Canis lupus familiaris: one gene and its partners. The protein of the gene in region 1 interacts with the protein of each later gene in a pairwise test. Links are inferred from orthologs where the notes say so. Each region holds a gene or a part of one and is shown in the gene's direction. Other genes may lie near its edges.

What was found.
Region 2: the proteins of FAM168A (region 1) and SS18L1 interact in binary tests that used the Homo sapiens proteins (3 or more experiments, as listed by UniProt). The two-hybrid records come from large-scale screens. The link is inferred for Canis lupus familiaris from reciprocal best matches to the Homo sapiens genes FAM168A and SS18L1.
Region 3: the proteins of FAM168A (region 1) and UBE2V1 interact in binary tests that used the Homo sapiens proteins (3 or more experiments, as listed by UniProt). The two-hybrid records come from large-scale screens. The link is inferred for Canis lupus familiaris from reciprocal best matches to the Homo sapiens genes FAM168A and UBE2V1.
Region 4: the proteins of FAM168A (region 1) and SF1 interact in binary tests that used the Homo sapiens proteins (3 or more experiments, as listed by UniProt). The two-hybrid records come from large-scale screens. The link is inferred for Canis lupus familiaris from reciprocal best matches to the Homo sapiens genes FAM168A and SF1.
Region 5: the proteins of FAM168A (region 1) and OTUB2 interact in binary tests that used the Homo sapiens proteins (3 or more experiments, as listed by UniProt). The two-hybrid records come from large-scale screens. The link is inferred for Canis lupus familiaris from reciprocal best matches to the Homo sapiens genes FAM168A and OTUB2.
Region 6: the proteins of FAM168A (region 1) and DAZAP2 interact in binary tests that used the Homo sapiens proteins (3 or more experiments, as listed by UniProt). The two-hybrid records come from large-scale screens. The link is inferred for Canis lupus familiaris from reciprocal best matches to the Homo sapiens genes FAM168A and DAZAP2.
Region 7: the proteins of FAM168A (region 1) and UBASH3B interact in binary tests that used the Homo sapiens proteins (3 or more experiments, as listed by UniProt). The two-hybrid records come from large-scale screens. The link is inferred for Canis lupus familiaris from reciprocal best matches to the Homo sapiens genes FAM168A and UBASH3B.

The regions. Positions count from the first base shown.
Region 1 is NC_049242.1:24,822,185-24,826,274, forward strand, and holds the start of FAM168A (protein FAM168A), read left to right. Parts: upstream 1-1,290; coding exon 1,291-1,311; intron 1,312-4,090.
Region 2 is NC_049245.1:47,030,026-47,033,525, forward strand, and holds part of SS18L1 (calcium-responsive transactivator), read left to right. Parts: intron 1-1,019; coding exon 1,020-1,096; intron 1,097-1,770; coding exon 1,771-1,855; intron 1,856-3,201; coding exon 3,202-3,346; intron 3,347-3,500. UniProt on the Homo sapiens protein: Transcriptional activator which is required for calcium-dependent dendritic growth and branching in cortical neurons. Recruits CREB-binding protein (CREBBP) to nuclear bodies.
Region 3 is NC_049245.1:37,194,639-37,198,138, reverse strand, and holds part of UBE2V1 (ubiquitin-conjugating enzyme E2 variant 1), read left to right. Parts: intron 1-366; coding exon 367-492; intron 493-1,740; coding exon 1,741-1,887; 3' UTR 1,888-3,500. UniProt on the Homo sapiens protein: Has no ubiquitin ligase activity on its own. The UBE2V1-UBE2N heterodimer catalyzes the synthesis of non-canonical poly-ubiquitin chains that are linked through Lys-63.
Region 4 is NC_049239.1:52,884,969-52,889,211, forward strand, and holds the start of SF1 (splicing factor 1), read left to right. Parts: upstream 1-1,443; coding exon 1,444-1,831; intron 1,832-3,136; coding exon 3,137-3,265; intron 3,266-4,243. UniProt on the Homo sapiens protein: Necessary for the ATP-dependent first step of spliceosome assembly. Binds to the intron branch point sequence (BPS) 5'-UACUAAC-3' of the pre-mRNA. May act as transcription repressor.
Region 5 is NC_049229.1:63,423,457-63,427,687, forward strand, and holds the start of OTUB2 (ubiquitin thioesterase OTUB2), read left to right. Parts: upstream 1-1,431; 5' UTR 1,432-1,446; coding exon 1,447-1,457; intron 1,458-1,880; exon of another isoform or gene 1,881-2,045; coding exon of another isoform or gene 2,046-2,048; intron 2,049-4,231. UniProt on the Homo sapiens protein: Hydrolase that can remove conjugated ubiquitin from proteins in vitro and may therefore play an important regulatory role at the level of protein turnover by preventing degradation.
Region 6 is NC_049248.1:43,029,695-43,033,769, forward strand, and holds the start of DAZAP2 (DAZ-associated protein 2), read left to right. Parts: upstream 1-1,275; 5' UTR 1,276-1,416; coding exon 1,417-1,429; intron 1,430-2,467; coding exon 2,468-2,586; intron 2,587-3,015; coding exon 3,016-3,184; coding exon of another isoform or gene 3,185-3,261; intron 3,262-4,075. UniProt on the Homo sapiens protein: In unstressed cells, promotes SIAH1-mediated polyubiquitination and degradation of the serine/threonine-protein kinase HIPK2, probably by acting as a loading factor that potentiates complex formation between HIPK2 and ubiquitin ligase SIAH1.
Region 7 is NC_049226.1:11,663,956-11,668,008, reverse strand, and holds the start of UBASH3B (ubiquitin-associated and SH3 domain-containing protein B), read left to right. Parts: upstream 1-1,253; 5' UTR 1,254-1,334; coding exon 1,335-1,495; intron 1,496-4,053. UniProt on the Homo sapiens protein: Interferes with CBL-mediated down-regulation and degradation of receptor-type tyrosine kinases. Promotes accumulation of activated target receptors, such as T-cell receptors and EGFR, on the cell surface.

The DNA.
Region 1 (4,090 bases):
AATAATACAATATTAGTGCCAAATTAAAAAAAAAAACAACAACAGGGATCCCTGGGTGCCGCAGCGGTTTGGCGCCTGCCTTTGGCCCAGGGCACGATCCTGGAGACCCGGGATCGAGTTCCGCGTCAGGCTCCCTGCATGGAGCCTGCTTCTGCCTCTGCCTGTGTCTCTGCCTCTCTCTCTCTCTCTCTCTCTCTCTCTCTCTCTGTGATGACTATCATGAATAAATAAAATTAAAAAAAAAAAAAACAAGATGCGGGAATGACCAAGAAAAGTCTTTCTGAAGTGATGGCATTTGGGCAGAGACCTGAATGATCTAAAGTGGAAAGCCATGAGAAGAAGTGATGAGGGAAACAAGAAACAGAAAGGTTCAGAGGTAGGAATGAGTTTGAGGAACAGCAAGAAGGTTCTTGGTAGGATAGGAGGTTGAAAAACAAGATGCATAGAGCTTTGGATTCATTTAGCCATGGGGGGGTCAGTTGTGACTCCCTTCACTTAATTTGCTGTGTGTCTCTGGGCAAAGTACCTGACTTTTCTGAGTTTTAATTACCTTATCTATAAAATGGAGATAATAAAATAAAGGCTATGTTGAGAATGAAATGAGAATATATGGAAAACACCTAGGATGGTACTTGGCATATTACTTTATTAAACATATGTTTATTGCACACCTACTATTATTGACCATGTCCTAAGGCACTCATTCCACTGTTATCCAATAACTTTAGTCTGTTTTTCTCTGTTTTTTTTTTTGTTTTTTTTTTTTTTTAATTTGTCTTAGCAAATCTTAAAGCTGTTTTCATGCCCAGGCTAGGCATTCTCCCTGAGCTCTTTATATTAAAATCAAGGAAAGAAGTGTTAGACTGAAAAAAAAAATGATTTGGAAGTGGATGAGTAGGTATAAAAATAAGGATGTGGGATTCTGGTAATTGCAGCCTCTAATATATTCATTTGTTTTGGAAAGAAACTGAATGTGCATTTCTGTCCTCTTTCCTCATCACTGGATACTAGCTATACTCAGGCACTTCCTAGCCAGGTTTCCTGCTGACCCAAACCTGCTTGCCTTAGGAAAATCAGATAGGAGAAAAGTCTTCCATCCTTGTAAGACCATCTGTTTTTTAGACCCACAGCTGCTGCCCTTACGATTGCAACACAACTGGAATGATTTATTCATCTCCAGGTAACATTTGTGCACCAGGCTTCCAGCAAAGTACAGTATCAGCTTTCCACTTAATGAAGCATCCAACACAGGTGGTGAGCTGCACCGGAAAGGATGCTTCTGGCTTAGAAATGGCTGATGGACAGGTGAAGGTAAGATATTAGTACTGAGAGAGTAGCCAGAGGAAGAGCAGAGTGAATACTAGGCAACAAGGGAGAATTTATTGTCCAGTCGGGTCCTGATTGTGTGTCCTATATTCCTGGAATTTCAAGATAATTTAACTTGTCTTTAAGTTAAATATATTACTATTGAGTTAAGTGAGAAAATTAAAATCCAGAAAGAGGAAGGAACTTAGTTTAAGCTGCATAGCAGTTTGGCACAGTTAACACTAGAACTCAGGTATTCCAATTCCCAGTCTAGTGCTTCCCTTCACATGTTTTGTTATGCAGTAAAAAACTTTAAAACATTATCCAAATGTGAGGTGGCATTATTATTTTTTGCTTAGTATAATTCGTTGATATTATGAACAAATCAGAACTTTTTGCCCATTAATAATTGAATAACCAAGCAAATAGCTTAAGTTTTTTGAAACTCTCTTCTTATATATAAAATGAGGATGATTAACATTTGTTCTGGATTGTTTTGAGGGTTAAATAAGATTAAGTATATGAAAACTGGTAAGGTCATTTTTGATAATCAGAAGGTACTAAACAAACAAACAAAAAAAGGTACCAAACAAATGCTAATTTCTCTTCTTTTTCAGTTCAGTTAAGCCAACACTGATTAAGCATCTGCCTTGTGCCAGCTCAATTTCTAGGCTCTTTGCTTATATTATCTTAGTTAACCTTTAAGTTCCTTCCTCTCTCCACTTACTATATATTGAGGGTCTAATTGATATAATAGTACTTTCTTTCTATGACAGAGTCCTTCCATCACTAAACACAGTTGTTATAAACAAGTGATGCTTACTTTTAGAAAAATCCAGAATGTTATTGTTAACCTGCGGTGATAACTATGAACCAATGTACCTAGATCCTACTATGTAAGATTTGGCTTCTGCTTCTACAAAGTGCTCGGTTTGGAGGGCAAATCACGACTATGATGGTATTCTTTGTCATCTCAGAGAAGCTTGGTTTCTCTTTTAGAGTGTTTGATTTTAGTAAATTGCTTCCTTTTCACCTTAGGTTTTAGGCTCTTTGACAAGCCATCTGCTTCTCAAACCCAATTTCCCTTTACCACCAAGTGCTTGCAGGCAGTTTTTCAGATGGAGAACAAAAGCTTTCTCCAGTTCCTAGTGGTTTTGTAAGAGTGGGAACGCCTCAGGGAGAGATTGCGTCTGATTATTGGAATTCATTTGTGATGTGTGCCTGATTAGGCAGTATTTTACCAAGGACTCTGCTGGGCCTGGCTGAAGAGGAAATAAAATTTTGGAATGGAGGTCTGTCAACCTCCTGGGTTTTGGTTATTTCTGTCCTTGCCAGTCAGTATCTGCTAGGGCTCCAAAGAGCTTGGTTGGATTGCTGCTGCTGCTTCTACTGTTACCACTACCTGTATCTGTTGTCTAAGTTTTCCATTTGCACTTTTTTGGTTGTTTTTCCAGGTTGTTGCTCTATTCTATGATCGTTCAATATAACGCAGTTCAATAGACTGAGTAAAGTGGAGATTAAGTAATGAATAAAGTAAGATACATGGAAACCTATTAAAAGAAAAGCCTTAAAAAAATAAAAAAATAAAAGAAAAGCCTTGGTAAACCCATAGGCATTGTGGCTTCAAATCTCAGCTTTGCTTTACACTGGCTCTACAGTCTTGGATATATCATTTAATCTCTTTGAGTGATCATTTCTTTATCTCTAAAAGTGGAAATATAGATACCTACTTTGCTTAAGGTTGTGGTGAGGATTAAATGAGAACTTACAGGAGGGGATCCCTGGCGCAGCGGTTTGGCGCCTGCCTTTGGCCCAGGGCGCGATCCTGGAGACCCGGGATCAAGTCCCACGTCTGGCTCCCGGTGCATGGAGCCTGCTTCTCCCTCTGCCTGTGTCTCTGCCTCTCTCTCTGTGTGTGTGTGTGTGACTATCATAAATAAATTAAAAAAGAATTTTTTTTTTAAAGAAAAAAGAAATGGGAACCTGGGTGGCTCAGTCGGTTAAGTGTATGCCTTCAATTCAGGTCGAGATCCTGAGGTCCTGGGATCAAGCCCCACACTGGGCTCCCTGCTCAGTAGAGAGTCTGCTTCTCCCTCTGCTTCTTACCTGACTTGTGCGCGCGCGCTCTCTCTCTCTCTCTCTTGCTTACTCACTCTCTACCAAATAAGTAAATAGAAAATCTTTAAAAAACAGAATTTACAGAAAAGAATCAAGCTTTAAGTTGGTGTGCATTAAATATTCCCTCCCATTTTTCTTCCCATCTCCTTAAGGAATGTACATGGAGAAATCAGACACATATACGTGTGTTAGTTTAAAATAGCTTTGAGAAGTGGCTAGAATTTGCAACAGTCATTGGGAATTGGAAGGTAAGGTTTTGGGGTAGATACCTTCCTTGAAACCAGGCTGGGAGATACACTCTGGTAAGGTGACCTAACATAATCTTTGTGCCTTTAAAGAAGACCTTAGGAGGGAAAAAGAAAGAACCTGGTAGTGGAGGCCTTGGGATGCTGGTTTCCTCAGGGGGACCATTAAAGAGTCTCTGGTAGCTACCGATCTCTTAAAGGTAGAATAACCTATTTTGCAGTAAGCTGAGAGCAGAACCTTTAAAGCATGAGACTGCCTTTTGGGAACGGTAAGTACATAGCTTGGAAGGTTGTAGCTACCATCTCTCCTTTCCCATCCCTAAAATCTGTTAATATCATCATCATAGTGATCTTTTTGAGGATTCAAATCTGGTCATCTTAACTGGCTGTTAAAATTCTTCACTGGCTCTCAGTTGCCTCTA
Region 2 (3,500 bases), on another chromosome or scaffold:
CCCCCGGCCCCTCCAGCCCCCGGCCCCTGCAGCCCCCGGTCCCTGCAGCTCCCGGCCCCTCCAGCCCCCGGCCCCTGCAGCCCCCGGCCCCTGCAGCCCCCGGTCCCTGCAGCCCCCGGCCCCTGCAGCCCCCAACCCCTCCAGCCCCGTGCCAGGGCAGCATCTCTGCCCAGCGGATGCGGCTGTGGCTGGCGGGGTCAGGCCGGGCCACCGGCTCTGCGGGAGTGGAACCCTGAGGTCAGGATGCAGCGAGGGGTACCCTCGGCCGGTGGCCCGTGACCCTTGGAGCCGAGCCCCCCACAAGGACGTGCGCCCTGGCGGCCGGCGCCGTTCGTCGCTGGCCAAGGCGCGGCTGTTCCTTTGGCGCGAGGCTCTGAACGAAGGCCCCCGCGGAAAGCGGCGCTCACCTTGGGCTCCCCTCCGCCCCTCCTTCCAGAGCAGGAAGCTGGGCACATGCGCGGCTGCAGGAAGAGCCAGAACCTTCTCTTCGCAGCCAGGGGGAGGACGCTGGCTCTGTGCCCGCCTAGCCGCCCCGGATGCCTGCGGACCCCGGGCCTGTCTCCCCCGCCCCCCCGCTGCTCCCACTCCCCCGACCTCCCTCCCTCGCCCCCCTCGGGTCTCCCCAGGCCATCCCGGGCGCTGTCCCCCTTCGAGGTCGTGGTGTTGCTCCACAGGGCCCGTCTCCCGGGAGGCACCGCCATGTGGCCCTGAGGCGGGGGGCTCCAGTCCAGCGTCCCGCACGTGGACTCCGCAGCCCCCTAGCTGGGCACACACGCTGGGGTCAAGGGCCCTAGACGGCGGGGAGGCCTGTGGGCCGTGGGTTTGCCTCCACCACGTGACAGACCTCGGAACCTGCCCCTGGGTTCGTGGGGGACTGACCGTGGCGCACGGAGGGTCGCGCTCAGCACAGCCCCGGGAGGCCGGTCCTGCTGGGGGGGTTGAGGTACGCCTGCACGCCGGCGACGGCGCTGTGCACCTGCTGGAGGGACGCCAGCCGTGCTCACTGTGCTTCTCTGCAGATGCTGGATGAGAACCACCACCTGATACAGTGTATCCTGGACTACCAGAGCAAGGGCAAGACGGCCGAGTGCACCCAGTAAGTGGCCGAGCGGCAGCGGCGGTCCCGCCCAGAGGATGGCCTCGCCCACTGGTCGCTGCCCAAGGAGCGGGAGGTTTGCGGGGAGATGGAAGCATGGGAGGCGGGCCGGCTGCTGGACACACAGGGGACAGTGCGCTCCTCCAGCTAGGACCTCGTGTGGCCCCCGGGCCTGGCTGCAGCAGGCCTGTCAGAGCCCCCGGGGGCCGGTGGCGGCAGCAGCCCCGTGTGCCTGAGGGTTTTCTCTGCTTCGGGGAGCCGGCCTCTCCAGGGGTGCAGACGTATCGAGTCAGCCTGGTGTCGGGGTCAGATGGAGGAGGCCTTGTGCGGAGTCTGCTCGGGCGTCTGCCTCAGCCTCTGTCCTCTGCCCCCCTGTGACCTCTCCTCCACCCCCTCCTGTTCTCTGAACAGACCTGGTGACCCCTCCCCTTGGCCCCCGTTTTGGGGTCTTTCCGCATGCTGTCATCAGATGGGATCCTGCTCAGGACTCAGGCTGGGGCCCGTTCCCTGCCTTGCCCTGTCTGACCACAGAGCATCTGGTGCCTGGCCTGTCCCTGGGCATCGCCTGCGCTCAGCATCCCCTTGGGGCTTGGCTGCAAGGCAAGGCTGTCCCCGGTAGACATCTTCGGATTGGCCTCCGGCTCCTCTGCCTCACCGTGCGCCCTCACCCGCAGGTACCAGCAGATCCTGCACCGGAACCTGGTCTACCTGGCCACGATCGCGGACTCCAACCAGAACATGCAGTCCCTGCTCCCCGCTGTGAGTGCTTGCAGAGGGGGGGACGGTGGGGCCCCGTCCTAGCCCAGCGCTATCAGGCGCTGCTTCGAACTGCTGGTTCGGAGAGCAGATGTCTGAGCGCGTTACCTGGAGTAACCAGGTAACAGGAGCATGGAAAGAGGGTGGGAAGCCAGTCAGAGTCTGAAGTGGACTGGTCAGAATTGTGACACCCGTTTCTTAAGCAAAGGGAGGTGACCCAAAGGAACCAAACCTCTAATGGCAGGAGGCGGGTCTTGGGAGAGCAGGGAGTGCCAGTGGCACACAGGATTCTTGCTCTTTATCGTGAGCCCTTCTGAGCGATTGGAAAAACGGTAGCCTGGGAACATATGCTGCTCTGATTCAGCAAAACTGCAGAAGCGCCCGGTGCAGTGAAGGCTGTAAACACCAGTGTTAATTTTCTTTAAATTTTTTGCTTAACTTTTTAAAAGTCTTTTTCCCAAAATCAAATTATTGCCGCAAAAGCAAGACCTAGTGGCGGCTGCCTCCTCCACAATAAACAGGAAGGCACGGCCTCAGGAGGGCCTGGCCCTTGCGGGACCAATGGGCAAGGAGGTTCCAGGACAAACCTGCCACCGGGAAGGGCTTCCTGCTGCCCCTAGTCCCTTGGAAGTGACTTTCTAAGTGCCGGCATGTGTTTTGCTGACAAAATCATTGCACCAGCCTTGATTGGCCTATGAGATTGGGACTCCTCAGCCTGGAGGTACCAGTGGATCCTGCTGGGAACTTTGTTTTCTCGGCCAGGTTAGGCAGCATATGGGTCCAAACCTTTGGAGGTGCTCTTTGATTTGGATTGAGGACATGAGATGCAGGGGTCACTCCATCCCGTTGCCCTCTATATCCTGATCAGAGGTGGGCTGGCAGCAGGGCAGGGCACACACAGAAGAGGAGCGACAGGAATGCCAGTGCTAAGGCACGGGGCAGTCTCTGCGAAGGCCCTGGGGCATGGAGTGGTGTGGATGAGGACATAGAACCCTGGCGAGCTGAGGGGCAAGGGTGTGGAGTAAGTTGAGGTAGATGCAGTCTGGGGTGCTGTATCCCCGGTAAAGAGGACCCATCTTTGAACTTCTAAGGATGTGTTGATAAGCTTGGAAATTCATTTAAGTTCTGAATGTTCACACAAGAATGCTTGGTGTATTATCTTGGCCTAAAAGGCTTGGGCCTAGTGATCCACCATCGTCTGATCAAGTATGAGAGCAGCAGTTGGTTCTAGACATTTGCCAGGTGGCCATGAGACAGGTGGATCTCACGGGCCACCAAATCTCTGGAGGGCTTCAGGTGGTTATTCTCTGGGTTAACCATCCTCCCTGTTACCTCCCTGTTGCCTGCAGCCGCCAACGCAGAACATGAACCTGGGCCCCGGAGCACTGTCCCAGAGTGGCTCCAGCCAGGGCCTGCACTCCCAGGGCAGCCTCAGTGATGCTATTGGCACGGGCCTGCCCCCGTCCTCCCTCATGCAGGGCCAGATCGGCAACGGTGAGTAGCTTTGAGCACCTCGGGGTTGGGGCTGGCTACTGGCAACCATGTCACCAACTCGGGCTCCCGGGTGACCACTGTCTCAGCAGGGTACCCCATGCCCCACAGAGCTGAGTGTGGGACCGCCCTCCTCCCAGAGGTCCTGGCTCCAGGT
Region 3 (3,500 bases), on another chromosome or scaffold:
TAATGTGGCTTTCCAGAGTAAAGAATGCCTATTACACACCATTGCCCAGAGCACAGGACAGGTCTGCAAAGTAGAGAAATTAATATAAAAACAAGTCCATCTGATTGGATTTAAATAACACTAACTTGAAACTTCAGTGATACTATTTTAAATTTTCTGCCTTTTTATTCCCCCAAGACCAGAATTGATATACACTAGTGTGGGGACAAGTTACTACTAATTTAACAAATAACAAGTAGACTATGTATAAATATAGGAAGTAGATACACCAGTTCTGCAGGCAGGAATAAATGGGGTTTCAAAAGATCTGCCTTTTTGAGTTCATGGTGTGTAATTGCCTGACATCTCTGTACCTTTTTTTTCCAGACAATTTATGAAAACCGAATATACAGCCTTAAAATAGAATGTGGACCTAAATACCCAGAAGCACCCCCCTTTGTAAGATTTGTAACAAAAATTAATATGAATGGAGTTAATAGTTCTAATGGAGTGGTAAGTTGTTTTTCCTGCCCATATTGTTCCTTTGGGTTGAGAGATGCTTTTTGTACTCAAACACCAGGAGCACTGTGGCCCTAATTCTATATTGGTGATTTGATAATCTTGATGATCTTGGTGATTTGATGATGAAATATATTGCAGTATGAACATATGCAGACTTGGTGTAAGGGCCTATTCCTCAGCTGTGTTTAAATCATCATTCGTGTGACACTTACTCTGGGCCAACACTGTGCTGCTTGCTTTGAGATAGGAGCTCATTCTGTCTTCATGATACACCCTCATGAGGTAAAGATGAGGAGCCTGAGGCTTGGAGCTGCAAAGTCCTATCCGGGGTCATAATTGTACTTCCTGAGCCTTATTTACAGGACATGCTATTTTTTTCCCCTTTAATGGCTTGCTTTTTCACATTCATTTTTACTACCATAAATGGAAAACCAGCCTCTCTTGTCATAGAAGGCAGTAATGGCAACAGTAAATACTACAGAATCAAAGTGACATTAATAAATGCCCCATGTTTCTTGCCAAAGGCTTTGAGCCTTTGAGACCTGCTCAAAGGGGAGATCAGCAAGTGTTGAAGGGTTTTACGTGTTAGCATTATGTGAGTTAAGCCTTTGTTTTGAGACACTCAGAAGACTTGAAAGAAAAGCGAAAAGATATGGGCTTGTTGCTGTGTGTTCAGTGTTTAATGTTGTATCTGAGCTCCACCAAAGTCCTGAACCCAAAACTCAACTCACACTTTGGGAAATTTCTTTTGGGAATTACGGTACTAACATGAGAGAATGTGACTCAGAGGCAGGGCCTTGTCACCAGAGTGTGGATTTGGGCCACCAGTTGCCTTTGCTCCTTACTGCACTGAACATTGTTATCATCTACCACCTGGGTGTAGAGCCAAGAAAGGACAGCCTTGAGCAGAGGCAGCAGCCAGTGCATCCAGGAGAGCAGGTCACTGTTCTAGAGCCAGCTGGGTGGAGTCTTGCTAAGTGTCAGGGCCATTTCTCTGAAGGTAGCTTTACATATCCATAGTTTCCTTCTCCTAAACAGTGAGGGTTCGGACACAAACAGGAAAAAACAGACTGCCCAGAGGGAGGGAGTCATGCAGGTAATTCTACATGTCAGATATGGTGGTGTGATGGGCATGTTCCACTTGAGAAATGCACTTTACTCCTATCTGCAGTTTTACTCCAGCATATAGTGATTCATTTGTTGGAGAGCCTGACAGTTTTTTTGTTTGCCTTTCTGTAGGTGGACCCAAGAGCCATATCCGTGCTAGCAAAATGGCAGAATTCATATAGCATCAAAGTTGTCCTGCAAGAGCTCCGGCGCCTAATGATGTCTAAAGAAAACATGAAACTCCCTCAGCCACCCGAAGGACAGTGTTACAGCAATTAATCAAAAAGAGAAACCACAGGCCCCCTCTCCCCCCCCATTCGATTTAAGCAGTCATTTTCCACAGTAGTACATTTTCTAGATACGTCTTGTAGACCTCAAAAGTACTGGAAAGGAAGCTCCCATTCAAAGGCAATTTATCTTAAGATACTGTAAACGATACTAATTTTTTGTCCATTTGAAATATATAAGTTGTGCTATAACAAATCATCCTGTCAAGTGTAACCACTGTCCACATAGTTGAACTTCTGGGATCAAGAAAGTATATTTAAATTGATTCCCATCATAACCGGTGGGGCACATCTAACTCAACTGTGAAAAGACACATCACACAATCACCTTGCTGCTGATTACATGGCCTGGGGTCTCTGCCTTCTCCCCTTCTCCTCCTGCTGGCTCCCTCCCTCCCTCCCTCCCTCCCTCCCTCCCTCCACCCACCCCTCTGTCCCTGCAACAGCCCTCCAGCTTGGGGTGGCTTGCTAGAATAGGCGTGAAGGTTTCAGGTCGCAGCCTGTGGGACTACTGCTGGGTGTGCAGGGGTGCTCCAGCTGCACCCCTGGTTTCCTTTTTTAAGTCTTAAATGATGCCCTCCCCCCTCCAAGCCATCATCCTTTCTCTTCCCATGACCACCCTCGGCCGAAGCATAGATTGTAACCCCCTCTGCTCCCCTCTGAAATTGGCCTTTGGTGAGGAATTCAGGGCTTTCCCCATATCTTCTCCCCCACCTTAATCGAGGGGTGCTGCTTTTTCCTTCCTCCTCAAGTCCCTTTTTGCACCATCACAACCCAATACTTCCTTGCTTTGGCCAGAAGCCATCAGGTAAGGTTGGAAAGAGTCTCTGACTTCCCTCGTTTAGTTTGGAACCACATTTACTCACTCTCCACCAGCCTGGGAATGAATATTGGGTCCTCAGCCCTGCCACCCTCTGCTGTCATCATCAGCTGATGCCGTTTTTTAGCTCAGGTTTTGATAAAGTGAAAAGAACAGTCACCAGGGGTATTCAGACCTGCCAGCTCTCAAAGTGCTTGGTGGTAAAACTTGGAGAAAGGCCACAGAAGACACTTGTAAGCACACACGATCCCTCTGAATGAATTGTTTTCTTTTCCTATAATTGCTTTTGCTTTTAACAATTGAAGAAGTTTTAAACAGGGTTCTCATGTGGTCATCTTACAATCCATTTGGGTCTAGTTTGGAATCTGACAACTGGAACGAAAAGAACCTTGGATTCGGTGCATACTTTGGTTTTGGTGCTGCTGCGTCTCATGGTCCTCAGCAGGGATCGAGAAAGAACTCAGTGTGCACAGCAGATCCCCGAAATTGGCGGGCTTGACTTCCTGGCAAATTGCTGCGTTTTTCCACTTTTCTGTTCAGGACCACTAAATGCTGAGATGTGGATGCATACCGAAATAAAAGCGATTCATTGTGTTCTAAAGATTTTTTTTTTTAATTTAGTGTTTGTATAAAACCACCTTTTGAAGCAGCAACTATCAAGTCTGAAAAGCAATCGATGTTTCCATTAATCTTTTTCTGGGGGATACCTTAGTTCTAAGGATTTAACATCCTGTAAGTAAAGTTGAACATAACAGTATTCCATAAGCAGCCTTTTTATTGTCAGA
Region 4 (4,243 bases), on another chromosome or scaffold:
ATCTGTTGGCTTTTATCCTACAGTTCTAATTTCTTTAGTGATCAAGTATATATTTACTAGTCTGAGTTTCTTGTTTTCCTTAAGTCTCCACCTCTAGATAACCCTGTTGGTCTCCTATATTGTTATTTTAGGTCTGTTTTATTGTTTAAGATCCTATACCATTTGTTAGCTGAATCTTTACTGAATCTACACATGGGGAATCTATTTCTGGTCTATTCTGTCGCGCTCATCTGTCTTTCCTTCAACAAATCACATTGTTTCATTACAGTGTCTTGCACACTATTCCGAAAAGCGAGTTCCTCCTCAACCTCGTTTACAGGTTTCCCCACTATTCTCATAATTATATGACTTTAAGATGATGTAATCAACCCCCAACCTAGTTGATTCTATGGAAATACAATGTATTTGCAAATTAATTTTGTTTTTTTTTTTGTTTTGGTTTTTTTTTTGTTGTGCAAATTAATTTTGAAATCGAATTATTATTGTTTTCTGCCTAAGATGATGTGTTCTTCCATAGGCTCAGTATCGCTTTGATCCTTCAAATAGACTATTTTATAGTTGTTTTTTTTGTTTTGTTTTTTGTTTTTTTTTAAGAAAACAGGAAGTCCCTTTTTACCTGCGGCGCGTCAACGGTTCCGGTTTACGGTCGCGCGCCAGCCCCTCCCCCGTCCCTCGGTTCCGGGTTACTATGGGAATCGAGACTTAACGTCACTAAGGGCTTCCGCGCCGGACCAAGGAGTCGACCATGAAGCGAAGGTCGGAGAGGCAGCCTTGCCCCATCTACGCATGCGCTCTCCTCTCCACTCCTCCCCGGCCGTAAATCTCGTTCTGCCGGGTACCGCCGCGACCTCTCGCTTAATCCCAGAGAAACTGCTCCCCGGGGGAGGAGTAGAAAAAGAACCGGACAAGCGACAGCCAATCCCATGACACTACGACGCAACCGAGCATTGACCCAATCAACTTCAACCAATGAGAAAGACCCTGCCCCCTACGTCACAGAGCTTGCCCCGCCCCATTCCCCTCCTTTCTGGACTCCGAGCTCAGTTCGCGCAGTAACAAATGAAGTGCGCGCTGCGACACCTCCCAGCTCGCCAGGCTCGGCCGCCATTTCTTCCCCCCGGCCTAACGGTCCGGCCAATCCCAGCGTGCATCGAGAGGGGCTAAGGCTCCGCCAATCGGAGGCCGCCGATTCCGACCCCTTGCCTGGGCTCGGCCCAATCCAGGACTCGGACCCGTCGCCCCCGGACCGCCCCCGCGGCGCCCTCTCTCCTCCCTCTTTGTGCGTCTCGCGCCGCCGCCGCCGCCGCCCGCCGCGTGAGAGGACGGGCTCCGCGCGCTCCGCGGCAGCGCAGTCGGGTCCCCTCCCCCCGGAAGGTTCGCGAAGAAGCCGCCGCCGCCACCACCGCCTAAAAGGAGCCGCCGGTGCCGGTCCCCGGGGGCGCCATGGCGACCGGAGCGAACGCCACGCCGCTGGGTAAGCTGGGCCCCCCCGGCCTCCCCCCCGTTTCCGGGCCCAAAGGGGGCTTCGAGCCGGGGCCACCGCCTGCTCCCGGGCCTGGGGCGGGGCTGCTGGTGCCCGGGCAGCCGCCGCCCCCGCCCGTGGGCTCGGTGGGAGCCCTGACCGCGGCCTTCCCCTTCGCGGCGCTGCCGCCGCCGCCACCGCCGCCGCCCCCGCCTCCCCAGCAGCCGCCGCCGCCGCCGCCCTCCCCGGGCTCCTCGTACCCGCCGCCGCAGCCTCCCCCTCCGCCGCCGCTCTACCAGCGCGTGTCGCCGCCGCAGCCGCCGCCACCCCATCAGGACCAGCAGCCGGGCCCGGCCGGCGGCGGAGGAGGTGAGTCGGGCCGAGAGAGCGCGAGAGGCGTCGCGCGGACGGGCCCGGCCGCCTGAGGGGCGCGCGGCGGCGGCGACGGCGGCTGCACGCGGCAGGGGCGCGCGCGCGCACGGGGAGGCCCCGGGCGGAGGCGCCAAGGGGCGCGCGGCCCGGTTCTCGGGCCCCGAGTGCGCACGCGCACTGGAAGGGGTGGGGGGGTGGAGCGCGGAGGGTGTTGTGCGCAGGCGCAGTATGGCTGCCGGGCTTTGTGGCCCGATAATAAATGGAAATGGGGTGGGGGGGCTCTGTGTTGCTCTCTACAGCTTGGTACAGGAGAGGGGTGTCGAGCGGGTTGAATTGGTGGACGGGTTGAGGGATGTGCGTGTCGGGAGGGCGTGAAAGGGTCAATTGATGACGTGGAGCACCTTTCTGATTCTAGAGAAGTCCAAAAGGTAGGAAAGCGAGAGTAATTTATCTCTCTGTGCGAAGTTTTTACTGCAGTGAAAGGAAGAGCTCGAAAAATCCTCAGTGGTGTGGTTGGAGCCGGTGCACTTTTGGAGGAAGGAATATTTTCCTAATCTCCATTCGTTTATCTTAGAGAAGTCTGATATGTCTCCCCTTAGTTGTTGGGGCTTTCCAAGTAGAACTGATTTGTGTGTACCAGATGTGTAGAAAGTTTACGCTTCTGTTTTGGAGGAGGAGTATTTGGCTGCTGTTGGATAGCTTGTATTTTGTTGAACTTTTGATACCTCATTTAGGAGTTCTGATGTTAAGTGTCTAAATTAGCCAGGAAAACTGAATGCTTATCTTGACTAAACTTCTGAAGAAAAAAGTGAGCTTTTTGAAGAATTGGGCTTTTTCACTTAGTAAATTGTAAGTTTGGTTGTGTTCTGGTCCCTTTAGAAAGGTGGCTGGTGGGGTTTGGAGGTGGGAAGAACCAACAGTTTTCTCAGCATACTTTACCACATCTGATTATTCGGTATATTTTGTCTCCCCTGGGGTTTTTAAAACATTTGTGGTTGATGTTGCATATCTGAAACTGTAGGGATTAAGATTTGTTAGCTTGTTTACATACTTCACGTTTTTTTGACATATGTTATAAATATGAAATATGTTTTTGGACCCAGAGCCAGGTATCTTTGTGGCGGCTGTGTGTCTCTGATTTCTTGGGTATGTCTTCCATTTTTTGCCATTTACGTTTTAGGTCAAGTTCTCAGTTTCCCAGTCTGCCGAGGTTGTGTGTAGTATTATAAGTATCGTGAACTGCCTGTTGGTAGTTAGTTTGTTGGTTTATATTTGTATTTGATGGGTTTTCTCTGCCTTTAGACTTCCCAAGTAAGAAGCGGAAGAGGAGCCGCTGGAACCAAGATACAATGGAACAGAAGACAGTGATTCCAGGAATGCCTACAGTCATCCCCCCTGGACTTACTCGGGAACAAGAAAGAGCTTATATAGGTAAATACACGTTCTGCACCCAAATATGTTTTCGGATTGTTATGACTTATTCTGAGCAGCGTTTTATGTGTCCTAAATTTGAGACTTTAAAGTCTTGTTCTTTTGAGATGAGGTATGGTCAGGTGTACTTTTATGACTTCGACATAATCCATCAGTTTTTGCTCTGTAAGTCCTGCATTTGAAGCTCCTGGTTTCGGTCTGTTCGTAACAGCAGTGTTCTCCATGAGTGCCAGGAAGGTAGAGGGACCCATTTAGGAGTGAGGGTAGTCCCCAGTCCAGTACCCCACCCTACACTTTTCAGCTGCTGTTCATTGCCCGTTGGTGAGGTGAGTGTCTTCTGCCTCTCTGGACACGGCCCCAAGTGGAGAACACTGCAGGTATTATAAACTAAGTACCTTTTTCACAGCATGGCCTTTCACCATTTCATATTCTTCCCTCCCCTTCAAATGTGGTCTTTTACTTTTTATAGGTACTTTCTGAAAAACTCAGTTTAATCAAAGAGTGGTCCTGAAAGTGTTGGCAGTATACATCCCTTTTTACGATTTTGTTGAATTTAACCTTTCCTTCAGCATCTTTTCTGGTTTGGTCTTTGGAGAGCTGCCTTAAAACGAAGGCTCTTTTACTATTTATTATCAAAGAATTCTGCTGGGAAAGGGGTACTACTTGGATATGGCATGAGGTGATAGGGTAAAAAAGATCTTAACTGTTGGGAAATTTCAAGACAATAATTATAGTAATTGTCCACAATGTAAATGAAGTTAACCTCAAAATTACCTTTTTTTAAATACAAGGTTTTTAATGCGAGTTTCACCTTTATTCATGTATCTCCAGCTGTCTCCAAAAAGTTCACTTGATAAGCATTTCCTACTAACCAAATAAACATCCCCTTTGGAGTAAATTAGGGCAAAGGCCGCCTAGGCCTGGGAGGCTGTAGCCTTTACAGATAAAAAGCTTCAAGGCTGGCATGTGTTATTCTTG
Region 5 (4,231 bases), on another chromosome or scaffold:
TCCATTACGCATATATGGAGATTCTGGGTAAGATTTTTTGTTTGTTTGTTTAAAAGACACACTACTAAAAATATTTTTTAAGTATTTTTTTAAATTGCTCCAATTGTCCAACCTTCTCAATAAGAGGGGAATCAGAGGCCCAGAGAGGGCCTGGAAGTCGTCTGAGGCCATGCAGCAGTGAGTGGCAGAGTCTAGAGCCGGTCTGGAGCCCAGTGTTCCCTGGGAATTCCAGCCCGACGCTCCTTCCAAACTTGGGATACCAGCTTAGCTTGGAGCTGCTGTGGCCTGGGGAGGGGAGCAAAGTGGACCAAGGGTTCGAGGTCTAGTATGGTTCAACACAGGGCTCCTAGAAGCCTCAGCCCACTCGGGGTCCTCCTCCCGGAGGCCCTCAATGCCTCAGCTGTGAGCTTGATCAGGGCTAAGCCTGTGCCCTCCCTTTCCCAGCAAAGACTTGTCACCCGCTCTCCGTGGAAGTACACCTGGCTCAGGTATTCCCACACAGAGTGAAGCCCAGCACAGCTTTCAGCAAGCACCGGACGAGGAGTCAAAAGTCTGGGGAACCAGCCTGGCTAGGCCACTTTGTCGCTGAGCAGCACTGGGCTGCTTCTCTTACCTCTCTGACTCCCTTGGCTATAAAAAAAAACAAGGAGCAGAGCCCTCCAAAAGCAAACAGGGGCGTGGTGGTACACACCCTCATCATCACATGCATGGTTCCTCAGCAGAATGAGTTTGGAACCAGCTCCAGAGTCAGGCTGCCTGGGATCGAATCCCACTGTATGGTGGGCGAATTTGGGCAAGTACCTTAAATGTCTCTGTGCCTCAGTTTCCTCATCTGTAAAACAAGGATCATAGGGATGATAATAAGGCAACCTATCCCTGTAAATTAGTTGTCAGAACATTAAGTAGGATGATACAGGTTGAGAGTTGAGGACAGCGCCCAGTACACAGTGAGTGTTCAATAAAAACTCATCTTTGTTGTTCTTGTTCCTCGAGCCACGATTAAAGCCTAAATTCTCCACCTAGTAAATGATGTGCACTTGGAAGACACAGATGTTTGTTTATCCAAGAGTCAAGCCTGGTGCCTGGGGCAGGACAGTGAGCATGGGAATGGGCAATTGCTTAACACACGGACCTGGGAGTTTTGACACCTGTAAATTGATGCATGCAATGCACTGGAGCACCCCCTTCCCCAGAAACCCTCCCTCCCCCACTGGAAGCATCTCCTGGGGAAGGGGGGCAGGGCTGGTGAATGAATCTTTGAATGATACATATTCCTGTGTTTGATGTTCCGTAATAATGAGCTTGTATGCAGGCTGAGTCACCAGACCTGATTTACGTCTGTGCCACACGTATGCAGCCTTAGGATTCCAGAGGCACAGCATCAACAATCCTGGAAATTCATTCACTCAACAACCATTAATTGGGTGCCTGCTAACCGACTGATTCATGAGCTGGAAGTGGGTAAAACATTATTTAGAAGCTACACAAGGGCAGGCAGGTAACTTGATGTTATTGGGCACGTGTTCCCCAAGCACCTGTCCTCTGATCTGGAGCAAACTATACTTACGTGGCCTTGTTGAGAAATTAATGAGAGCCGACTAATCTTTCAGGAGGCCTCAATTTGCAGTTTTGGTCAAAAGCCCTTCAGCCTTTACAAATGAAGCCCTGCCTTTCTGGGTCGGGCTAACTCCTTTGCTAGTTAAAAGCTTTCTGTGTCTTTAAAAGGGGGCGGTGCCCTGTCAAATAAACCCTGAAGCATAGGCTGAAGGCGCGTGGAGTCCCACCCACTTTCTGTGACGTCCTGCGTCCCAGCTGCTGATTGCCCGCCTCAGACGTCAATCGCGGGGCGTGCGTCTCGCTGGGACACAGTGGAGGTCTAGCCTGAGGTTTGCGGAGCGGTCGGGTGCATTCTCCGCTCGCCCCCGCGCCCTCGAGGCCCCCGCCGCCCGGCCCAACGGCGGAGCCAGCCGGTGGCTCCCGCGGCGCCCTCCCGCACCGGATCGCTGCCCGCTGCGGCGGGACCTGGCCCGACGGCTGCGGCCACTATGGTCAGTGGTCGTGGAGGGAGGCGGGGGGAGGGGAGCTGGACGGGGGGCGCGGGGGGCGGGCTCGCCGCCGAGGCGCCTGTGCGCTCGCGGGTCGGGGCACGGGCGCCGGGCTCAGCCCCCAGCGCGGGTCCCGGGCGTTCGGACCCCTGGGAACGGGGAGTCGCCGCGACGGGTGCTGGGAGGAGGGGGGGTCCCCGTCCTCCCCGGGGACGCCCTGCAAGGCCCGAGGCGCGCCCCGCGGTGCCCCATGGACGCCCGGCGCGGGGACCCAGCCTGGGCTCCGGGCCCCGCGTCCGTGGTGCGCTCGCCCCCGTGTCCCCAGGGTGTCGCCCCGACGGCGCAGTGTAGGCGCCCTCGACGGAACGGGAACCGAGAGGCCCCGGGGCTGCGGGTCGCCGTCTTTGTTAAGTAGCCGCGCAGTGGGCAGCTCCCGGCGCCACGCCTCCTCCCCAAGCCCCGCAAGTGACCCAGGAGGTGCAGGAGCCCGGGGGGGGGGGGGGGGGGGGCGGGGGGGACGTCCTCTCCATCCCGCGGATCAACAGAGGTGTGTGCTGTTGGGATGCACATGGAGAGGCGCCTCAAGTTGCAAGCACATGAGTTAGGGGGCCACGGCGGTGGCCAGGGGAACCCTTGATTCAGAGTATGGGTGGAGCAGAAACGGCCCCAGAGCCACCCTGGGCCAGGACGACCCTGGAACTTGCGTGGGAGGGGAAACTGAGGCCCAGATAAGCAAAGGGCGGGGACTGGTTGTGGTAGTAGACCTGGGACTTGAATGCAGGCCTCTGGACTCCCAGTCCAGTGCTCCTTGTGTTACATCAGACCACCTTGCAGGTGGTAGGGGGAGGGGCCGGGCACCTTGCGAGCAACCAAGCAACCTGGTGTGGCGACTGCCTGAAACCCTTTAATCCTTAGCCCCCTGCTCCAGGGAGCCTGTAGAGTGTAAGGGCTCGTGGCCCTTACGGTGGCTTGCAGTCATACAGCTCTGAGTTCAGATGCCATCTCCACCCCTTGGAAAGCCAAGAGGCTTTGGTTGGGCTGGCCCCCACCCCTAGCACTACTTGGCGCATCTGCACAGCAGGCACTGTGAGGGCCACATGAGGTGACACCTGTGGAGCGCCCGGCCTAGGTAACCAGCTACGGCTGCTCCTGTGGTACCAGGGTCCTGGAAGTGGGTGCACACGCATGCCCAGTTCTTCTTGGTCCCCTCCCTCTCCTGTCTGCGCGGGGAGGTGGTCCATCCCTTCAGGACGCTGCTGGGCTGGCGCATGGGTCAAAGCCTGGTCACGGCCTGGCACGTTGAGTGTGGCACGAGCAGCCAGGGCAGCTAAGTCAGGGCTGCCCTGGACAAAGCAGCCGGCTGCTGGGGTGTGGCCCAGGGCCTCTGGGGCATCTGGAAGCATCAGCTTCCTGCTTCTACCCAGTGCCCCAAGGTTTCCCTGGCTCTGCTGCTCCTGGAAGGGGGCCCACGTGTTTCTGCATCTATCACCCACTACGGAGTGGCAGGAGCTGGGGTAATAATGAGTTCAAAACGCCACCCTGGAGCCGGAGGCCACCGTTGGGAAGCTGAGAACAGGGCAAGGACGGTGGTGACGAGGACCTGAACTTTTGGTCTCTGTGCTAGACAGTGAGGCCTCTGATTCCACCTTCCCCACTGCCCTGGACTCTCAAGACCAGAAGTCAGAAGGCAGATGGGGTCAGGGAAGGCTTGGGGGTCTTGGAGAGGGGTGAAGTGGTGAATGCACTGAGGAGGGTGTCTGCCTGGGAATCACGGGGTGGGGCAGGGCTGCACAGGGTCTGCTGGCATTTACTGAGCACCTACTGTTAGCCACACACTGTGCTATGTGGCGATTTTTATGTTCCTGCGTGGTGTGAATGGGGCTATGTGTGCGGGGGCAGCAGAGGAGAGGAACGTCCTTGGGAAATACACCATCTTCTTTCCTCTTCCATTTCAAAGACACTGGGCTAAGCTAGAGGCCTGTGGAGAAGGCACAGGACCCCCTAGGAGGGCAGGGGCTGCCACTGGCTGGGCTGTAGGTAATAAGTGTTCACTCAAAATCCAGTTAACATTTGGTGAACACATGAGTGTGAGAAGTGAATAGTGAAACCACAGGGCCCTTCCGTGCTTTGTTCTTTTGTTTGTCAAACAAGCCCCTAGTCATCAGGCCCCATGATGGGCAGTGATG
Region 6 (4,075 bases), on another chromosome or scaffold:
CTGCCTCTCTCTCTCTCTCTCCGTGTGACTATCATGAATAAATAAATTTAAAAAGAAAAAAAAAAAATTAAAAAAAAAAATTAAAAAAAAAAAAAAGAACATTGTGTTCTGGGCAGCTGGATGGCTCCTTCAGCCCAGGGCGAGATCCTGGAGGCCTGGGATTGAATCCCACGTTGGTCTCTCTGCATGGAGCCTCTTTCTCTCTGATGGATAAATAAAAAAAAAAAAAAAAAAAAAAGAAAAAAAAAAGAACATCTTGTGCTGGGGGCGCCTGGGTGTCTCAGCAGGTTAAACGTCTGCATTGGGCTCAGGTCATGATCCCGGGGTCCTGGGATGTGCAGCCCCTGCATGGGGCTCCCTGCTCGGCGGAGAGTCTGCTTCTCTCTCTCCTTTGCCCATCCCTCTGCCGGTGCACTCTCTCTCTCTCAAATAAATAAATAAAATATTTTTTTTAAAAATGTCTTGTGGGGCAGCCCAGGTGGCTCAACGGTTGGGCGTCCGCCTTCGGCCCAGGGCATGACCCCAGGGTCCTGGAATCGAGTCCCACGTTGGGCTCCCTGCATGGAGCCTGCTTCTCCCTCTGCCTGGGTCTCTGTGTCTCTGGTTAACAAATAAACAAAAATCTTAAAAAAAAAAAAAAAGGTCTTGTTTAGCTCCATCTCTGTACTTGCGCAGAGGCGGCGTATCTTAAAATGAAGGTTGCCCGGGGCACTGCTGCCTTAGAGGGTGGCACCCCTGCCCTTAAGGACAGTGAGGGTAGGGACGAAGGGAGAGAGAGGGAGGCTACAGGAGGCGGCAGGCCGGGCCCTGCGCGGGGCCTCCCTCGGGCAGAGGGGCAGCGACGCAAGTGCAGGCGGGCACCTGCCGGCGGGACGGGCAAGGCGGCCAGGACCCACTGACGGCGCCGCCAGCCCGCGCAGTCCAGGGGCCGGGGCCGGGGCCGGGGCCGCCGCGCTCCGCAGGTGAGGTCACCTTGAGCTGCTGCGCAGAGGTGGAAGCAGGTTCCGGGGAGCGGCTTCAGCGGCTCTGCCCCCGAGCGCCCCAGAGAGAGAGAGAGAGAGGAGGGGGGGGGGCGGAAAAAACAAAGGCAAAACCAAAAAAAAAAAAGCCAACAACCGTGTTTGGAGACAATACCTGCATTCGGTTTTCTTCCCGTCGTGGGACGCGGGTGGGGGTGGGAGGGCGAGACCCAAGGGGCGGGGCCGCCGCGCGCCGGGGGGGCGGGGCCACGCGCGCCCGCCCTCCAGCTACTGGACGCCGCGCGGGAGGGGCGGGGCTTCCGGTGGCGGCGGCGCTCGGGCGTCGGGTGACGCGAGGCGGACGGGCCGTCACGTGACACGGAAGTGACTACGAACAGGAAGAGGACGAAAAAAATAACCGTCCGCGACGCCGAGCCGAACCGGACCCGCAGCCACCATGAACAGCAAAGGCAAGGGCAGGGGGCGGCCGGGGCCGTCGGGGGGACAGTGCTAGCCTGGAGCGAGCGGGCCCGGAGCCCGGGGTCGCCAAGCGGAGGCTTGGGGCGCGCTGCGCCTCCCTCCCCGGCCGGCTGCGGCCCCGGGGGCCGCGCCAGACGCCTTCGTCATCCCCGAACTGCGGCTGCTCGCTGCTTCCCGGCCCTTTCCTCCTTAAACTCTGTGGCGCAGTTTGGAGCTGCGGGCTCGGGTGGAGGGGCGGGGGGGTGCAGGGGGGAGGCTTGTCATGATGGGCATCTGCGGGAGCAAATGGGGAGCTAGAGCAGGGATGCGGGTCGGCCAATGGCGCGCCGGCGGGGGCGGGGCTTCGCGCTCCGGAACCAGAGGCCGGCGCCCGGGCTTAACCAGTGCGGCGCCGGCGGGCGGGCCCCGGGGCCCGGGGGCCCGGGGGCGGCGGAGGGGTCTCCCTCCGCGTGCCTCGCGCGGCCGCCCGAAGTGCCCCCGGCTCCTGGGACTGTGCCGGCGTCGGGCCCCACACGGTCCTCCGCTGTGCCTCAGGACGGTTCCCGTTATCCTCCCTCGGGTCCCGAGGGCTCACGTCCATCGCGCGCTGTATTCGGAAGGCGACCTTGAGTAGGAAGCGGCGGGGCAAATAACCCGCAACCTCCGTGACCCAACGAGGTCGCGGCTCGGTCCAGCCAGGCCTGTGGCGACCACCCGGAGCCGGGGCAGCGCGTCCCTGCCGTTGGGCACGGGCAGGAACGGGGCCCCACACCTGCCCTGCATCGATGGAGAAGCTCGGGTGTGCCAGTGGGAGGACTGCCCCGGTAGGAGTAGGGATAAGGGTGCGAAGAGAATATTCTCTCGGCCCCAGAAATCAGCCCCCACCCCCACCCCACCACCCAGAGCGGTCTGTCTACACATCTCCAGCTTGCTGCCCCTAGGGCAGCTACCCAGGATGCTCTGCCCCATTTTGGTGGCTCTGTGTGGTAGGCAACATGCATTTTCTTTTTCTTTCCTTTTTTTTTCTTTTTTTCTTTCTTGTCTTCCAGGTCAATATCCAACGCAGCCAACCTATCCCGTGCAGCCTCCTGGGAACCCAGTGTACCCTCAGACCTTGCATCTCCCTCAGGCTCCACCCTATACTGATGCTCCACCTGCCTACTCAGAGGTGCTTCCAGTTTACTAGACTTGAACCCAGTGCTCTTGGGTCACATCTTCAGTCCTTAGCTAATAAGCCTGAGTCCACGCATATCTATTCAGTGTCCGTAAATAGGAGAAGGGAGGGCTCACGTGAATAGTCTGAAACACTGTACACTTCAGCGCAATTTCTGTTGGGGTTGAGACTGCATCATCTGATTGTTTCATGTTTTTTTTTTTTTTTTTTTTTTGGCACCGGGTGAGGTTAAGAAGATGAGCTTGCGTTCCTTGAGCCTCACGTTAGCTATGGCAGGAAGTGATGCAGGAGGGTACTGAGTGGCAGTGGAAAGGCAGTTTGTGTAACTCAAGAGTGTAATCTGCACAAGGACAATTAAGAATTGAGCGTAGAAGGGATCTAAAATCGGAATGTCATAAAGTAACCTGTTGCCTTCTCTTCTAGCTCTATCGTCCGAGCTTCGTGCATCCGGGGGCTGCCACGGTCCCCACCATGTCAGCTGCATTTCCTGGCGCCTCACTGTATCTTCCCATGGCCCAATCTGTGGCTGTTGGACCTTTAGGTTCCACAATCCCCATGGCTTATTATCCAGTTGGTCCCATCTATCCACCTGGTTCAGCAGTGCTGGTGGAAGGAGGGTATGATGCAGGTGCCAGATTTGGAGCGGGGGCTACTGCTGGCAACATTCCTGTGAGTATGACCTTATCAGAACAACTCAGCTCTTACGTAGTTTAACTTTCTGAAGAGATTACATATTCATCCTTTCACCATCCCTGGGTAATAGCTGTGGTATGGGTATAAGCACTGACATCCAGTAGTTGGGCAGAAAGCAGTTGAGGGGGCAGGAGAACTGTGGCAAGTCAGTAGCATCTGGCACATTCCCTGGGGCCTGAGTTAACCAGATTCCTTTGTTTTCCTATACCTCTTTAAAGCATTAGGAGTCCTGCCTGCTGCTTTTGCAGTTCCACTTTGGTACTGGTCTAGTAATACTCCTTATTCAGCCTGTAACATTTACTTCAAATTTGCCTTCAGTATGGCATTCCATTAAGAAACGTGATAAAAGAAAAACGTGATGAGTAAAAATGGAGAAAGACACATGAGATAAGCACTGTGTGTTATATGTAGGCAACTTGAATTTAAATAAAATAATAATTTTTAAAATCCTGAAAAAAATGAAGAAAGCATAGTCCCCTATTAAGTGGCATTTAGAAAGATACTAGAGATTTTAGTTATGTTGCCTGCTTAGCTCCCCCCTCTATAAGAATTAGAGCCCAGGTGGTCCTTGCCTCAAAGCCATATACCTGAAATGAGGTGAGAATGCCTTTAAATGAGTGGTAGGCTCTTTTCCTGTCTGTACCTTTGGGTTCACAGAGAATATAGACCTGCTTTACAACCCACGTTGGCAGAACTAGCTTTAAGATGTGATTGGTCAGGACACTGCCATCTTTCTAATGGATCCTGTTTCACGTGTGTCCACTTCCCTTGTCTCAGCTGCCCTCTGCCC
Region 7 (4,053 bases), on another chromosome or scaffold:
TACCTGAAAAAGAGCAGCGAAGGTTTACTCTTCCTCTTTTCCATGAAACCAAGCCCTTGTCCTTGACTGAGGACAATTAAGTTTGTCTCCAAATGAAAGAGCATAAAGACCCCTAAGCCCAGTTCATGGTGTGTGGTTATGGGGGGTGTGGGGGGGTGAGTGTGGTTCAGACTCCCGCCTTCTTTGGGGTGGGAGTAGTTTTGTTCAACCTACGATGCAAATTCACTGACGTCACCACGGAGCAAAGACGATCTAGTCTTTCCTTGAATCCTTCATTGACGGGGTGCTCACTCCCTAACGAAAACCAACCCCTTCCCTTTTGAACACCTTTTAAAATTAGAAAGTGTTCTTTCTCTGTTCCTTCTTCCGCCCCCTCCTTCCACTTCCCACTTTCCCTGTCCTCCTCCTTCCTCCTTGCATCTTCCCCTTTCTCTTCTCTTTTTTTTTTTTTTCCACCCTGCCCTCTCTCTCTCCTTCCTTCCCCCTCCCAGGCCAGAGAGCCCGAGAGTTCCCTATCTTTGTCCCGAAGTCGCTATCCCAGCCCGGGACAGCCTGGGAGGTCTCTGGGGCGGCCCGCTGGCCCGCTGACCCGAGCTCTGGCGCCCACGGCCACGACCGCGGTCCGGAGGTCGCAGGGTCTTTCGGAAGCAAAACCTTTTATCTGGGCTCGGCCTTCTGGTTCATTAATGCCATCCGTCAGTTCGCCCAATTTCCATGATTAACCCGTCTGGAACCGCAGGAACCACACGAAACTTGGCGCGGCTGGAGGCGGCGTCCGGGGGCCCCGCGGGCTGAAGGCGCGGGCGGCGGCGAAGGCGGGGCCCGGGCGCGGCTCCCCGGCCCCGGCGGTGGGGACCCTCCGCGCCGCAGCCCCGCCGCGCCCGCCCTGCCCGGCCCCGGGGCGCGCTCGGCCGCGCGGTCGCTTTAAGAGAGGGGCGGGGCCCGGGACGGCGAGGCAGGGCCGGCCCACCGGGCTCCTTTTCCTTTTTGATCCATTCAAAAATTACTCATTGCAAATTCCCGGACCGCCGGGAGCGGAGAGGGAAGGGGCGGCGGGCCGAGGGCTGCTGCGGGCGCCGCGCGGGGGCCCCGGGGGGCGCGAGCAGCTGACGGCCGGCCCGGCCCGTGCAGCCGGGGGCCTCACCAGGAAGCGTCCGCCTCGGCCCCGGGGAAGCTCCGAGCGCCGCCTCCCGCCTCCCGCCTCCCGCCTCCCGCCTCCCGCCTCCCGCCTCCCGCCGCCGCCGCCGCCGCCTGGCGCCCGGCCCCCGAGCCCTCCGCGGCTCCCTCCCGGACGCTCGGGCTCGCGCGGCCCCGGCATGGCTGGCCGCTGAGCCATGGCTCAGTACGGCGCCCCCGGGCCGCTCGGCATGGCTGCGAGAGAGGAGCTGTACAGCAAAGTCACCCCGCGCAGGAGCCGCCAGCAGCGCGCGGGCACCATCAAGCACGGGTCGGCGCTGGACGTGCTGCTCTCCATGGGCTTCCCCAGAGCCCGCGCGTAAGTGGCCTCCTCGCGCCCCGCGCGCCCGGCCCCCGGCCCCCGGCCCCCGGCTTCGCCCCGGCTCGCCTCCCCGCGCCCGCCGCACGGGCGGCGCGCTCCCCGCTGCCCCCACCTGCCGGGGCGGGGCGCGTCCCCAGGTGCGGCTCGCGGGCTCCCCGAGGTCCCCGGCGCCCCGGGGGAGGCGGCACCCCCCCTCCCCCCCGGTGCGGGACGCTGGGCCGCCTTAGGGTCCTCCGAGGGCTGGGAAGGGGCGCGGAGGGGCCGGCGCTCTCCGTGCAGCGGCTTCCAGCTCCGGATGTCGCTCGGGTTCGGGCCCCCTCCGGAGTAGGAGGAGCGGGAGCGTGGGTGTTGCTGCGTGTTCATTGATGGGGAGGATGCAACGAGAAGGAGACGCGATCCCTCCTGGGGACCTGGGTGCTCGTCAGTGGTGACGGCAGCGCGGAAATCTGTGGGTGCCTGAGAGTAGGGAAGGGAGCTGGGGTCCCGCATCCTTCTGCCCCTGGAGAGTGGGGAGGGGCAGGGCCCGGAGCGCAGGTGGCTGTCCCTGCAGCCCGCTGGGAAGAGGCCTGGCCGCCCGCGCAAGGCAGCGGCAGCAGGAGGCTTCTCCAGCTTCCGAAGCTGGTCAGCCGAGACCGTGGGGCTGGAACCCTGCCGAGGAGGAAGCCGTGGCCGGGTGGCCCGGTGGCCCGGTGGCCCGGTGGCCGGGTGGCCGGGCCCTCCTCCCTTGGTTAATTTCTCCGTGCGGATTTCTTAGGTAGGGGACACCAGGCCTGCGATCCGGTGGGGGCGCTGCTTCTTTGAATGACATCACCTGAACGGCAGAGTTGGGCAAACTTTATCAGGAAGGGCCAAGTTAATGAAAAAAAAAAAAAAATTTTTTTTTTCTCCCTCTTTTTCTCAGGTAGTAAGTCTAGGTTACCCTTCCCCAGCCTCTGGGCAAATCTCGCTTACTCTATTCTTTGCAAACTTGGCTGTGAACCCAGAGCCAAAAGCACACCCCTGGTTTTACCTTTCCACCCAGCCGGCTGGGACAGTCAGGAAAGTGGGCCCTTGGGAAGTCAGGAAATAGGCCGATGCTTTTGACTTGGGTTGACTTCCAAGCAGTGGGGCTCGTTTTCCATTAAGGAGGGAAAATTCGGTGGGCTCTGCAGGGCTGTGTCAGGTGTGGATGCTGCAAGGTATGCCCTGATTCTGGCTGATGGACGTGCACACCTCTCCTTAAGCACGGGAGGTGGGGCCTGGGGAGTCTGCAGGGTAATGCTGCAGAATTAGCACAGTCCCTGGCATCTAGGCCAACATTAAGGACCTAAGTTGCTCAATGTAGGGAAGAAATACTTAAGTGAACTCCTCAGACTGTCATGTTTGCTATTCAGACCTGCTTTCAAGGGGCATCTTTTTTCCTGCACTGGGTCCGGGAGGCCTTGTCCATGTCCCCACAGATTAGCATGATGGTCTAATTTTGACTGGCTCAACCCCTGAGATCTCCTAATGGCTAGCATTTATTGAATATTTATGATGTACTATCCTAAGTGCTTTACCTTTATTAACCATTGTGCCCTAGCAACACAGTGAGAAAGCTAACACACATGCCCATCTTACGCATTTGGAAACAGAGGTTTAGTAAGGTTATATAACTTGCCCAGAGTCACAACACCAAGCAATAAGGCTGAGATTTGGATCCACGGTGTGTCTGCTTAACCTCACATCCAGAGCCAGTATGTAATGAGTTAATGTAAGCGAAATGCTTAGTTGCAATGCCTGGCACATTGTGAAAGATTATTAAGCCTTAGTTGTTACCGCATTCGTTTCTGTGGCTGCTAGAACAAATGACCACAAATTGGCTGGCTTAAAACAACAGAGATTTATTTTCTCCTGGTTCTGGAGGCGAGAAGCCCTAAATCAGGGTCACTGGGCTGAAATCAGATGTCAGCATGGCTGTGCTGCCTCTGGAGGTTCCAGGGGAGATCCACTCCTTGCCTCATCTAAGTCTTGGCGGCGGCTGGCATTGCTTGGCTCGTGGTGGCATCACTCACTCCGATCTCTGCCCGCCCGGTCCCATTGCCGAGCTGTCTGCGTCAGATCTCCTTCTGCCTTTTTACTGTAAGAGTGACTGCTCTTAGGGCTTCTCCAGATAATTCAGGTTAGCCCTCCCATCTCAGGATCCTTTATCACATCTACAAAACGTTTTTTTTTTTTTTTTTTTTCCTCTTTTTTATTTTTACCATATGGGGATGTTCACGGTTCCAGGGATTAGGACTTGGAGAACTTTTGGGGAGCTCTTTTCAGCCTATCACAGCTCTGAGCATTCTGACTAGCACTGCCTCCCTTTACTGAAGGGGTGACCGAGTGGGTCCTGATGGAACAGTCTGAGCGGGAGGGAAGTTGGCTTTGCTGTTCGGTCTCCATCAGAGCCCCTGCCTGGGAGGGGGCGGAGCCCTTGGCTGTCACCTGATCTAGTTCTCCTCTCACCAGGGCTGCCAACTTGAAAAGACAGACAGCCAGGGCATCAGGCTGAGCTTCTGAGAAGCCTCTTTCTTAGGCCTTAAGCCTGGAGG